Oreochromis niloticus: one gene and its partner. The protein of the gene in region 1 interacts with the protein of each later gene in a biochemical or structural test. Links are inferred from orthologs where the notes say so. Each region holds a gene or a part of one and is shown on either strand. Other genes may lie near its edges.

Region 1 (7,294 bases):
GCATTTTTAATCTGTAGCTCTGCTCTAAAAGAACGTACGTACCTGGCCCCGCCTACTATCCTCGGAAACGTAAAATGATTGGCTAGAATTGGCTCAGGAAAAAAAAAGCACCGAAATAACGCACCGAAATAAAGCATCGAAATAAAGCATCGAAATGTGCGCTGCTTTTCGGTCTGGTTACTACCGTTTATGTCAGAACCGGTGCCATGACACCGGTACCCATCCCTACCTGTGAGGCTGTAAACAAACCTGCATCTCCACCACCAGACTGTAAACACACCAAACTTACAGTTTAACAAATCAAAAATCAAACTGTCTATCACAATATGTATTCATTCAGTCATAAACAGCATGAAATGGAGGGGATGGGTTGCAAAGCAACTTGCAGATGCACAACAGCTGTAGACAGGCCAAAGCAGCTTATATGGCTGCTAATAAGACGTCTAGAAGAACACCAGCAACGTCAGAAGCAGGCTCCATTTATCCACAAACATAGAGGAAGAGTCTGGAGTGTGGTTAACTAGTCGATCTCAGTAGATCCACCAACATTAGCTTTGTTGTTGCTGCTGATGCTCTATAAAAGTGGCCGAGCATAAAATAAGTGTAAAAGGAACCCCCAGATATGGGTCACAAAAAGACAAATTATATCTAAATTTAATTAAAGATCAGATAATTAAAGTGGAAGTGTGAGCGCCTGGAGCTAAACACATTATTCACGACTTAGTGTATCACGATCTGCTCCTGACGGGGGAGGAAATCTCAACTGGTCATATTTGGAGCAAAAGTTTCGTAGGTTCAGCCAAGAACATGGAACAAAAAAGGAGTAGAAACTACCGCAGGACCCCAAAGAAGGACTGAAGCGTGCAGACTAGAACAACACAAGACGTTAAACCTGGAATTAGTGTGTGTTTTCCCACATTGTTCACATTCCTTCCTGCAATAAACATCCTGCCCTGTTATTACCCACAAACCACCTGGTTCATGTCATCTGAATACCTGAGTGAGCGTGTGTGTACTGTAACTGAGCAGCTTCACTAACGACCTTCATCTATAATACAAGACCTTAAACACACACACACACACACACACACACACACACACAGTGAGAAGAGCAGTATTTCCATCACTTCACAGGACTAACCTCAAAGTCTTCACCCTGAACTTTACTCCATCACTTTTAAGAGGACTCAAACTTCTACACTGAACCAAGGTGAGTCTTCACAGTAAAAAAGCAAAAACATACACACAGATAAAACTACTATCACAAAAATACACACACTCACACACACCCTGCTAACCCTGAAATTTGTTCCTTCATCTTACAGGTCAAGCTTTGTCTTCATGAGGACGTCGAGTTAGCGCAGTATGAGAATATAAAGACATGCGTGTCCCCACAGGACATTTAATTCAAACTTCAAAGTCTTCATCTCCTCTTGGGAACTCATTTTAGTTCCCCCAAATTGGACTAGCTCTAAGTTCCAAGTCTTCAACCTCAAATTTTCTCGATTACGGTGGTTTTCCCTTCATAGGGATCGATCTTTATTTAGACTCATTTTTTGTTCCCATAAGGAAGTCAAGTCCCTACAGTGTAAGAAAGCAAACACAAATACGTCAAACCAATTACAATAAGACACGCCTACAGCCTTTTTTCCCCCATTATATCATTACTATATATAGGACTCGCTTTTTGTCCACATGTGGTCCACGTAGCCCATAAATACAAGACCTAACACTCTAAATATTCCCACCACTTTAAAGGTCTCGAGCCAACCCTGAAAGTCTTCACCCTGAAATCTGCTCCCTCACCTTACGGGGGAGGTGGAGTGCAAGAAAGTACAAGCCAGTGTCCCAGGAAACAAATTAAAATAGCACACACCCATGGAGTCGTATTTCCATCGCTTCAGAGGACTTACGTTTGTCCCCTGAAGGAAGTTGAGACCCCACATTACAGAAAAATTAGTGCGCATACGTCCCCCCAAAAACACACAAACTAAAAGACATCACACAACTCATTGGATTTCTTTCACTTTTGAGGAGTCAAGCTACCTGTAACATCCTCGTCCCTGAAATTACGGCAATTTTGTTCTCTTGAGGAGGTCCCCACAGAGCACTAAAGTAAATACACTCGAGTCCCCACAATACATTTAAAACGGCGCACACCAACACACTCTGGGCCACTTTAAGTGCCATAATCTGTTGATAAGCCTCTCTCTCTCTCTCTCTCTGCATCATCTCTCTACCTCGCTTGCTCTACAGTAGGACAATAAAACAAAGCCTCTCTCTCTTTCTCCATTGTTTCTTTATGGGACTCACTCACTCAGTAGGTGTGTGTTGTACTTGCTGGTGTAGTAGTAAACGTCTTCGTAGCCTTCCTGGTAATCATCATCCGCCCGGTACCTCCTCCCTCGCCTCCTCCTGCTCAGCAGACGTAGCAGGGCTAGGAACCGCTCCATCCCCACCACCTCCACCTCCACCACAATCACACCGGGTCCAAACTGGGCCGGGCTAAGCTGCAAGCTAACAGCAAGGCCAATAACGGTGAGGGCTAAGCGTTTATTCCACACAGAGAGATAGAGAGAGTGAGATCAGGTTTCCTCCTCCTCGCCTCCTCTTTCTGCTGCGCACACACACACACGCACACACTTCTGGATATCACACACACACACGCATTAGCGCACATGTAACACACACACACACACACTCCCTCACACACTCCCTCACTCGCTCGTTCTTTGTATTCTCTCCTCTATCTGCAGCCTCCCTCTCCTCTGTTCCCGTCTTCTTTCGGCTGTTGGTGCATCTAGCCGGGTTCAGCCAATCACAGAGCTCGCAGCTCACAAACACACACACACACACACACACACACTTTGCTCGCTTGCTGCTCTCGCCCTCTAACACACCACTCCTCCATCTCAGCCCTTCATCCTGCACTTCCTTTCCTTCATTAGATCCTTCCTTCCTTCGTTATCTTGTGCCTCTATTTCTTTCAATCCTTCCTCTTCTTTCTCTTCCTGTCTTCACATTTCCCTTCCTCTCCTCCTCTTCCTCCTCATTCATACACTTCATTCCAGTGTGGGGGGAGGGGAGCCGGTGAGTGAATTCCTCAGAGTCTTCTGTAATTGTACCAAGAGGAGGAGAAAGGAGGAGAGAGGAGAGGGGTGGAAACATGTGCAGGTAGCTGGTGGAAAACTGGGATAAAACCAGATTTCAGGAACTGAAAACCAGGATTATCCTATCAGTATCCAGGTCCTGTTTGGGGTTTGGGAGAGCACTAGTGTAGTTTTACACTCGATTCAGGAAACAAATGAAGACACAAACCACAGACAAAAGACGTGAAACCCGGATGAACATCAACAAAGAGCTCTCAGGTTCCATTTACCTCAGAGACAAGTGAACAACATCTGCAGTCACCTTTGGAGCACATCTGGCTGACAACATCAACCCAGGGACAGCCGCACGTCCACCTTACATGATTACTGACCTTTTAGGCCACATCTGGCCCTGACAACCTTTGCCATAACCGAGATGAATCCCAGCCCCTTACTTTTTGCCTCATCTAGTTATTGACAACCGTTCCAGTTGCAGTCCAAAGCCTAGCTTGTGACATCTGGGCAACATCTGGCCCGAACAACTCTTGCTGTACATCACAACCATACTGGCTTGTGACTTTTGAGCCACGTCTGGCATCAACTCATAGACAGCTCCAAGTACAATTTATAGGTTTAGTGGCATTTGAGGAACATCTGGCTCATCCAACCTTTTACATAATTGACATCTGGATCACATCTGGCTCATCCAGCCCTTGCTGTAACCCATGTAAAGCTCAGCTCGTGACTTTTGGGCCTCATCCGGTATCAACTCAAAAACAGCTGCCAGTACACACATTCAAACACACATTCGGTGGTATTCGAGGAACATCTGGCCCTGACAACCTCTGCTGTAACCCACCTCAATATCAGTTTGTGACTTTTGGGTCACATCTCAGGCATTACAGCTAAGACTGTATTTTTTCCCCATTTAAACTACATTTACAGCACAAAGAAAGAACTTGTAAATAGATCATATTGTATATATACTGTAAACTTGCAACATGTTTGTCAGGTTAGTGAATAACTGTGTTACATAATCATAATTTTTTGGAACTTTTGGTTTCAAGCCCTTACACTTTTCCTGCTTACATCACACAAAGAACTGATCACTCCATTGCTGCCTCGTATACATTACGCCGTGAAAAGCCCGACTGTAACGAGGTAATCAGTGTTATTCACCTTCAGTGTTTTGAACACCTGATCAGTGTATAATCCCTGCAGGTGTTCTTGGTCAGCCACCCAGAGTCTACACAACTTCCACAGAGACCTGAAGTCCTGACCTCACGCTTCCTGCATCAAGAGGTCTGGTCAGGATAATAAATGGAGACACTTGTGCTAAAGCAAGGACTAAACAACGCTGAAAACAGGCTCCACTCTGAGTCAGTGGATCTCATCTGCTGAGGTAAGCCTGCTGCATGATGGCAGCATCCTCTGGTACCTGAGTTCATCTTAAACAAGGCTTCACAATAACACGGGGACTAAAGATCCTAAAAAACCTTCAGGATCATATCCAGCTGCTGACAACATCTGAGAGATTTTTTATTAAAGAATAAAAAAATAGCCAACTTTTTCTTTTACCCTCATTTCCATTTATTTTATATTCATGCAATAATCGGTTTTTGTCTTTTGCTACGCTGCTGCCAGATGTTTAGAATTCATCATACGATATACGCTGTCATTTTACTCCACCTTATTTATTGATTAATAAAAATGTTTAAATCACAATGACAAACACAGAGAAGATCCAAAAAATAAAATAAAAACATGATCATGATCAAAAATGATATATGAAAACACTGACAAAATGAAACCTATAAAGTAAATAATAAATTATTGAAAAATTATACTTTCAGCAATGATGAATAAAGTGTGCAAAAAAATAGGTAACAATATTTGGCATTAGTTAAAAAACTAATGAACTAATGAATATATTAATAAATAAGCTATGTTACACAAAATACAGTAAAAAAATAAAAACAGAAAACAATAACAAAATTAATAATAGAAATAAGTGTAATAATACCAAGTAAAAATTAAATAAAGGTTTTTAAAATAGAAAAAAAAAAACTGGAAAAAGAGGAGGAGTATTTTTAAAAAAAATAAGGCTAAATAAATCCTGGCAGTCTTACACACCGCCTATGGTCCTACTCCAAACTGCAGGAAATCTTGTGAACTGGGATTGATCTCAGCGGGCGTATCGTCTACCAAAATCTTAAACCCCAAAATAAACATCTGAGAAAATTGTAATGTTCTGATTTTCCGTGCCAGGAAAAATAAAAAAATATAATGTACAACATACAACCTCCGGGTGGCACACAATAACGCTGGAACATGTCCCAGTGGACTTCATGATCTGCTCGGGTCAAACGTTTAGCCAGATGTGTGGTTTCTTTCTTGAATATGTTGACGTGAATGTGAATGACAGCTTTTGTTGTTTTTGCATAAGACTCTGAGCAACGGTCATGACATGATAACTGATTACAAGGATGGAGGTATGAAAAGATCCACGCTGAGCACAGTTATTACTGTTACTGTTAGTTCTTTTTGTTTATGTTTGGCTGTTAACAAGTAAAAAACAATAATAATAAATAACACAATTAAGTAAAAGTAAATCTAAATATCTAATGATCTAGAAAAAAATAATACAATAGAAGCTATAGGGAAAAATAATCAGTACAAGAAAAATAAAAGCATAAAGGTGTTTATATAGACCAAACTATATTGATGTTTATTGGGGGAAATCATCACGACATTTATCAATAATGAAAAGAATCTGGCCTAGTTTTAAAAGCAGCTTTACAGATGTTGCTATTTTTGGTTTTTAACAGCTACACACTCGAGTACAACCCTCAAGTATTTGAGTAAATGTGATTCAGCTTCAGAAATTCTGCTGAAGGCAGCACACAGCGAAGGACAGACTGCTGTGAAATCATAATAAAATATTTCTACAGTTTAAATTCCTTTTTTTTAATCCGTTTGCCAAACTGTGGATTGGAGGGAAGCTTGCCGCTCGTCCAACTGGGTCCCAGTCGGCCCTGTTGGCTCAGGAAATGACAAACTGGAGGGGGGCAGCAGATTGTGATCAGAGGGTATTTTAATCATGCACATAAGGAGGAGATTAACCAGGTTACTGAGTGTTTGAGGGTCCTGAAAACGATCAGAGCGGGGACAGACTTCACGCCAGAATTCGGCCGTCAGGCTCTGGGACTGTTCTTAAGCCAACAGTATGACGGCTCGCGGCGGCATAAGATTTCTACAGAAAGAGAGGGGAAACCCAGAATATCACCAGAGATGAGTTTAGACACAGGTGAGCTGGTCCGGGCAGGTAAATCTGGACCTTTCCTCTCTGTGTGGCCATCACACTCAGCCCCTCTCCAATGTGACCTTTGACCTCTGACACACAGTGACTGACAGCTGGTCGCCAGGGTGTTCAGTGACAGTCAGGAAGCCATGTCTCTGAGCTGTGAGTGCTGACCTTTGACCCCTGTCATGTCCTGACAGCTCATGTTTCCCACGCTGCGCTGAAGCCTGACAGGCACAAAACTGCTGATGGAAAAATGACACACACACACACACACACACACACACACACACACACACTCTCATAGTAAATGTATTGATTACTGGATCAGCACCGGCAGTGAAGGAGAAGCTTCAGATTTTGTGGATCCTGCTGCACTGACACCTTTTCTCGTCTGATAAACACATTTTGAAGCTGTCGGCAGAATAAAATCAGCACTCTGCTTTCATCCAGGTGAGAATGAAGTCATGTTTTTTTTTTGTTCCTCTTTCAAAGTGACGTTTACACCTGGAAGGACGATCTGCTGCAACAATCTCCAAACAGCGTCACGTCTTAGACTGTGCACGTGATTTATTTTCCTTTTACAGTATAAGAAACAAATCTAAGGCACATGACTTAAAGCTTCAGAACACAACTGCAGACCACGCATGAACCGAGCAGCTGGATCTGCTTTCATTTCTAAGAATTTTTCCTATTTCCATCTGATGCGCGTTTGTGAAGATCGGATAATTTGACTCCTAATGTCTGATCTCACAGCGACTCTAAGACTGAATCAGTTGCAGCTCAGATCTGCTAAATGTTATAGATGCAAACCTGTCTGTAACAGCCTCTCTGCTGGGTTTAACTCAGCATGTTGTCGTCTAGTCCAGGAGATGTTTAAAGGTTGCTGCGCTCGCTCGTTGCA
Region 2 (7,270 bases), on another chromosome or scaffold:
GCGTGTGGAAAGCCATTCACAGTGTCATTTCTTGGTGTGCAGTGGAAATGGTAGCAAAACAGACTTTTCTGTAGGAGCAAGCACAGTGGCAGCTTTGTTAATTGTGGTGCTGCGTGACTGGTCTGATTGTTGGGTGGCTACTTATTTTAGAACAGAAGTCAGACCAGTTTCAAGTGTGTCTGTGTTTGGTGAATTAAAAAAAAATCACACAACAGTTTCATTCAGCTGACAAGTTCTTGTAATTTCTTACAGTCCGAAAACCAAAACACACACAGAAGAATTTAATTCCTGATGTTAGTTTTGTGAGTTTTGCCATATGTAACGTTTTCTTATGGTTTCTGTGTTAAACTGGGGTATTGGGGACCAAGCACGAGGCTGAGGGGCCCACAGGAAATCCACATGAAACAGGACCTCAGAAACAACTTGCGGATGATTTTCAAGCTCATGCAATGGAAACTGGCATCATTGTTTTTTTACTTTAAATATTTTGATAAGCAAAACAAATGTGGGGAAAATCACAAAGTGTAACATCCAAAGTGCATTACACATGCTTTTTGCAATCACATGGCACTTGAGGTGCCATGTGATTGGCTGATTAGATATTTGCATTAACAAGCAGTTGAACAGGTATGCTTAGTAAAGTGTGCAATACCTATTTATTGGAAAAGGAAATGACAATTCCATGTCTATTGACTTGTCAGCAATGTACAGTACTGTGCAGAAGCCCTTAGCCACTTCTCACTTATTTATATTTGGCTAGGACTTTACCTTTATATAATGCAAAATCAGAGTTTGTAAAATTCTGACAAGCTTCAAAATCAATATTTTATGTGATCACATTTATTCTTCAGCATAGTCTGTACTTTTTTTTTTATTAGTAATCTTCAGGAAAAGTTCTCCAAGATTTTCTAAAAACAGTTCTTCTTTGGATGTTTGCTGGTTTTTATTCCATTCTCTGTCAGGATGATCCCACATAGCTTCAGTGTGTGTGTTTTATTCAGCTATCCTTTTACTACGTTGACAGTGTGTTTGGGCTCATTGATCAGTCACTTTACAAATGGTACTACATAATAAATCAAAGTCTGATGTTACTTTTCTGTGTCCATAATTCTGTTAGTTTTGATACGACTCTCAACACAATTAGATGAAATCCAGCCCCAGACTATGACATGGCCTCCACTGTGTTTACTGTGTGATTTGGGACATGCCAACAAAACAAAACAACCAAAACTCCACATCGAATTATTGTAGGACTCTTCTTTTAGTTAGGGTAATTGTAACAATATTAGTTAACACTAACACTTGCTTTCAGGTTTCTCAGGCTGCTGCAGAACTGAAAAACTTCTGTTTGCAAAATGCCCACAAAGACCCTCTCCTCACCGGGGTGCCCTCCAGTGATAATCCTTTCAGGCCTCCCAAGTCATGTGTCCTCCTCTGAGGTATGAGCTTTTTATATATATATTTGTGCTCTTTTAATTTTGGAAACGCTAAACAAGCTTGTTATTTATTAGAGCACAAGATGTATCCCTCTAAGCTAAATCTACTTGTTCTCTTTGTAGAGCTGTAGAGTGCATGATATTCAGGCAGACTCCTCATTGTTCTAATGTGGATTTCTGTCATGTGCGGCACCACTGTTGAAGATAAGGAAGACCAGAGCCTAGTCAGTGAAGGAATTGATTAAATTATAATGATTTCAGGTGAAACATTTAGCCAATCTTATTTTAATTATATGTGTGTTTCTGCTTTCTGCATTTCTGTTTTGAAGACCTGTGGAATAACATTTTTAACAGTCATTATCAGTGGATGTGCCATTGTATTTGTCACTATATAAATAAAATACAACTGAATTGAAGCGGATGAAAACTCACACAGCTGAAAACAACATGACTAGAACAATTCCCATGAAAATTACATTGTAAAATACAAACCATAGGAGATTATTCCCATTTATAGATGTTTCCCAGAATCAAGCAGCAACCTCTACACTTTAAAAATTAAGAAACAGAAGTTCCTCTAATGGCCACTTGGCTCCAAATGTCATTTAGTTTGATTTAAAACAGAAATAAACAAATAAACGTTTACTCAGACTATTCAAACATTTTTTATGTTTCTTAACACTACGAGCAGCTAACTGCTAGTGTTAGTAGATAACTTGGCACACTCTCATCCAAATATAACTTCTGTTTCTCATAAACTAACAAACCCACTGAGCAACATCACAGTGACTACATTTATCTTTAGTCTGTGTCCAGAACAGGTGTAAAACAATCGTTTTAATCTTTATTTTTTTATTTATATATTAATTTTTGTCAACTCTTTTAAGCACTATATGAAAACATTCAATATAACTCCATTTCTAAACAACTGAGTGTGACGCATGTATTCCCATCATCAGTCAGAAGCTGACTGAAATGTCTGTAATCATCGATTTTTACCACTGAAAATGACCATGAGTTAATTCAGATATGAAGGAACTAACTGAGCATAAATGAAGCTCATTGGACACGGAGCGGACTACACAAATGACCAGCAATCAGTTTGTGTCAGGAAGCTTTCTCTAAAATGTATTTGAATTCATATCATAACATATAGAACAGCAAATGTTTTACATTGACTTTATTTACAGTGTAATGAAATGTGCCAGATATGGGCCCTTGTGTTTTTTACACCTACTGTTGCTTGCACTGTCATGTAATTGTTACTATGCATGTATCACATTAAATTATTACCCTAACAATCTGTATCTGCTTTGTTTTTTTCTGTTTGCTTTCTTCGTTTTTTAAAAATGTAATACAAAATGTACAAAAGATATCTTCAAAAAATGAAGATGTACTGTTTTTATACATTATTAATAATGTAGCGGTCAGTGTTTAGGATGTGAAAAGCGAACGGCTATCGTGGAAATGGGGAGGTGGACGCAAGCGTAATGAATCACTATCATAAATAGTACTCAATGCCTGTGATGTCTGTTTCACTCACTGTGCATCTGCAGTGCTTAGAAGGTTGGGGAAACCTGCAGTAAGCTGAAACTCGGATGAGTGATGACACGTTTCTCTCACTGAAAACATGCCCAGATGAGCTGAATCAACTCTCTGGGTTTTACTTACCTGGATTATTGAGCATGCATCAAGATAACACATGAGTACCTTCATGTTTGCAACATGTAAATATTCCCTTCTTTACATTCAAGTTGAGCAGATTGTAAGAGTTCCACTGTATGTTTAAGCTGCGCTTCTATCTTTTGAACTAAAGTCCAACTTTATTTTTCTTGATGCAGGCTCTTCTTGAGAATCTGCATATCAGATGTTCGAGCAATCAGTTTATGCTCCATTGATTAAAAATAAGTGCCTTTTCTGAGAAGTGTTAATGCTGCAGTGCTGATGCATGCTGGGAAATACGTATATTACTTGTAATTCCTGCCCCTGCTCTTGGTCATTTTTGGAAAATACCCATGAATTGGTTAAACTCAACAATGCAACAATTTGTTTTTCAGGGAGTTCATCATGTTTAGAAAGCCAAAGCAAAAAAGTGATGCTCAAATAAAGTACAAGGCCAGGACTTTGGTCTCGAGCAAAGCCAAAAAACAAACAAGCAAAAAATTTCTGATGGGTTATTTGATTATGAAACACTGTTACCACTTATATTTTGAAAATATGCACTCACATAAATATATCTAGAAGCTGGTCCACTAGAAGTGATTCTCTGAGTGGTTTTGTGGTGCGCTGACCCCATGCAGTCGGAGAGCACCTGCAGGTAATAAGCTTCTCCCTGTTGCCTGCTTACAGACATTACAGTTGTCTTTATGTTATTTTAGTAGGGCTGAATCTGTGTTGAGCTTGTGCTAGTCTAGTTGAAGAAGCTGGTAAGTTTATAACCTCAGCTAGAAAAATGAGTTACTGTCTGTGGTTAATCTCTGTGGTGCTGATCAAAGGCTTTTTTACTATTACGGCGTGTGTCTGTGTGTGAGTGAGAGGGGGGTGCAGGTGGTGACGATGCTTAGGGGAGGGGGTGAGATGCTGTGTTTGCTCTTGTGTAACATGGCGATAAAGAGACCCTAAAAACAAATAGCCACCTGTGGGTTTCGGGCAGAAGTACAGTTTTCGTTTGGATTTTAAGTGTTTAAAAAATTGTCAATGTTAGATATATTTTAATCTCCATGTTAAAATTTTATTTCACATGCCGTATTGCGCGATGGTGTTTACGCAATACCCATTTTTAGCCGCCAGGTGGCACTGTTGCAAAGGCTTATCACGTTGGTGCCCAGTGTGCCTCCAGCAGAGAGCAGTGCTTGGTTGGATGTGAGCGCCACAGATCTGTCTCTACTTCCAGAGCGAAGATGGCGGTCTCGGTATTCCGTGGCGTGCGGCTTCTCTCCATTGGAGACGCGAACGGAGATATACAGCGACACTCGGAGCAGCAGCCGCTGCGGTTAGAAGTCAAGACATCACAAGATGCTGCCCTCCTCAATCTCTCCAATGGTGAGTTGACCCTTTTCCGCAGTTGCCGCAGATGGTCGGCCTGACTCAACTGCCGCGCCGCTAATGCTATTGCAGCGTTAATGCTTACAGGCTAATCTGCCAGCGTTAGTAGCCGAGAAGCTAACGCATCTTGAGAGACCACGTCGCCACCTCCTGCTTGTCACGAGGAAGCTCTTAAAACTCAGTTTTATCACCGCCCCGTAGGTGTTTTAATGTTGCTAACTTTAAGCTCTCGCCATTCGCACGAGTTCAGTGCTTTGAAGACCACGCGAAACGTATAACGCAACACATACAACGTAGCTTAAGCGCATCAGTAAGCAGGGTAGCTAAGTAATGTGTACTTTAATGCTAGTTAAACAATGCCACTAGCCTGGCCTCAGCGGTGATGCGCCAACGTCCCGCACGTTTGCTTTTTGTGTTTTCTCCCTGTTTTTCTCCCTCATGTCTCATCAACGTGTATTTTGTCTCACAAATATGTTCAATATATTCCTATGTAAACGAATAGACTTTGTGTTGTCCAGAGACACCCGATGGACGGGTTCGAGTGTTTAGCTCGTGGACTAGCTTCCCCGATTGTTTTGGAGCCCAGAACAGAGGGCATCACTCCTGACCCGCTACGGTGTGCTGTAATCCTTGGGGCGACTCGCCGTCATCGCTGCTCTTTATTTTAGCCATCAGCACGTTCCCTTGTAAAACTTGCACTCTGTGTGCTGGTATAAGTTCGTAATATTTAAGGTGCCAAGACGAAACCGGGCCCTCATTACTTATGCGTTTATCTTTGTTCTCGCTGGAACAATAGCCGGGTCCCGCCGCCTCCTTCCCTCCCGTGTGGAGCCAGCAGCGGACCCGCTCCACTCCTCCGCGGCTTTTCTATTGAATGGGATGTCCCGCTGAAAAGAAACGGCTGCGCTGGACTCGCCTTCTGCTTCACATGCTCAAGTTCAAGAGAAACACAACTCTGCGTCCAGGTTTCAGTGTATAATATCAGACCGTAGAGCTTCTTTCTTCTAAAAATGCTTTTCAGAGAATCCCCCCACGCCTGCATGCGGACTCAAGTAATACTAACTAACGAGGTTTGCCGCAAGTAACTTATGTCATTGATTTTACACAGTCTGTTTCAAATTGTTGGGCAGTATTGCTGTGTGGGTAACGCAGACCTTTCCGGAGCTGTGTGTAGTCTAGTAAATTTCCACAAGTGATGTCACTTACATTACTAATGGGCCAGGTCTGAAGTCTACCAGCTTTGAAAGAACGACATCTGGGGGTTTGGTTGGAAAGAAGGGTGCTTTACCAATCCTCTCCAGCAGGCTCGTCTCTGCTGGAGACCCTGCATTCATGTGCTCCTCCGATACTTGGATTTCCTGTATGGTGAAGTCTTCTGCCCTCTTCGTTGGGTTCACATGATTTAAGATTAAGTGTAAAGCACTCGATGTAACAAAGATGTTGTCTTTGTTTGTCTTTGACTTGGAAAGCGTTACAAAAACAAACTCTTATAACTAATTCAGGTCACTACGTGGAAATAATAAATATTAGTAAATAATGGAAAAAGCCTAATGAGATATAACAACTTAATTGTTAGAAAAATGATATTTGATACACAAATTAGCACCATTAATAAAACATCTGTTGTCTCTTTGTGTGTAACAGCTCGGGAGCTCCTGTACCAAAACTCCCACAATCTTACTAAGATGGGGTTTTTTTTTTGGACTTAAGTAGGAATTTATGCCAGTTTTTGGAGATGTGAAGCAGATTTTTCCCTGTAATTTTAGCACCACATGAATGCACCATTACACAGGAACAACCAAAGACTTTTCAGAGGACTTGTTAGTGAAGTTTCTTGTGCTGTGGTAAGCCTTACAATCCCTGTAAGATGTTTTAAAGGGAGAGAAGGTCTGTGTCGAATGTTCATGCTTCACTGAAATACATAAGAATATTGTACTTTTTTAGACTACTGTCTCAAATGATATATTTAAAATGTCATAATTAGAAACCTTTAACTTTCATTCTAGTCTGAAAGTCCATATAGATGAGAAAAAAAAATATATAGCTAGATAGATAGATATTGATATAGACACTGGATGTGTAGTCTGACTGGCTCACCATGCAGTGATGTCATTTCCTGTCCAGTCAGGTTCATGTATCCATGACGTAAAGCCCCATAAACAATCATCACACTCATCACAGCTGAGCAGGTGCAGTCTCACTGTGGACAGTAAGAGGAGACCTAGAGAGGAAGCAGCTTAGTGAAAACTAAGCAATGTTAATTCTGCTCACAGGCGACAGCTGCACACAATCATTTTGTGCGAGTTCCAGATATTGTCAGAACAGAATGCTCATTTCTTTCACTGAATTGATGAAGGGAACAGTGGAGAAATGTTAGCAGGACAGTGTGAAAGTTATAGAACTTGAGCTCCTTCATATGTTTATTTAACAGAGGCCGCCTTATTGAAATTGCTGTCACTGTAAAACATGTAGCCTTTTTCCACTAGTACCTACATGGCTCGACTTTTACATTGGGTAGCAGTTACTTTTTTTGTCTTTCAACTACCTGCACGGCCGGGGTCAACCGATTGGCCAGTCAATGGCATCATGAGAGTAACTCCTTCACAAAAATCAAACCGCCATTTTTGAAACCTGGCAACGAGGGAAACGGCTGGACAACAACCAACACTGTGGTCTGACACAAAGCTATAGACTGAGCAGCAGGTGTACCATCGCCTCGGTGTGGTCCATTGTTGCTTTGTTTGTGTCACATACAAATGATTTCACGGGAATTTCAGTCACGTTGCTGT

What was found. The genes of interacting proteins can lie anywhere in the genome.
Region 2: the proteins of grip1 (region 1) and carm1 form a complex in vitro, tested with the Homo sapiens proteins (2 studies listed by BioGRID). The link is inferred for Oreochromis niloticus from reciprocal best matches to the Homo sapiens genes GRIP1 and CARM1.

What each region holds. Positions count from the first base shown.
Region 1 is NC_031981.2:19,985,767-19,993,060, reverse strand, and holds the start of grip1 (glutamate receptor-interacting protein 1), read right to left. Parts: upstream 3,018-7,294; 5' UTR 2,454-3,017; coding exon 2,318-2,453; intron 1-2,317. UniProt on the Homo sapiens protein: May play a role as a localized scaffold for the assembly of a multiprotein signaling complex and as mediator of the trafficking of its binding partners at specific subcellular location in neurons.
Region 2 is NC_031969.2:3,522,253-3,529,522, forward strand, and holds the start of carm1 (histone-arginine methyltransferase CARM1), read left to right. Parts: upstream 1-4,256; 5' UTR 4,257-4,336; coding exon 4,337-4,478; intron 4,479-7,270. Other genes in the region: si:dkey-204f11.64 (guanine nucleotide-binding protein G(I)/G(S)/G(O) subunit gamma-5), read left to right, coding at 1,313-1,438. UniProt on the Homo sapiens protein: Methylates (mono- and asymmetric dimethylation) the guanidino nitrogens of arginyl residues in several proteins involved in DNA packaging, transcription regulation, pre-mRNA splicing, and mRNA stability.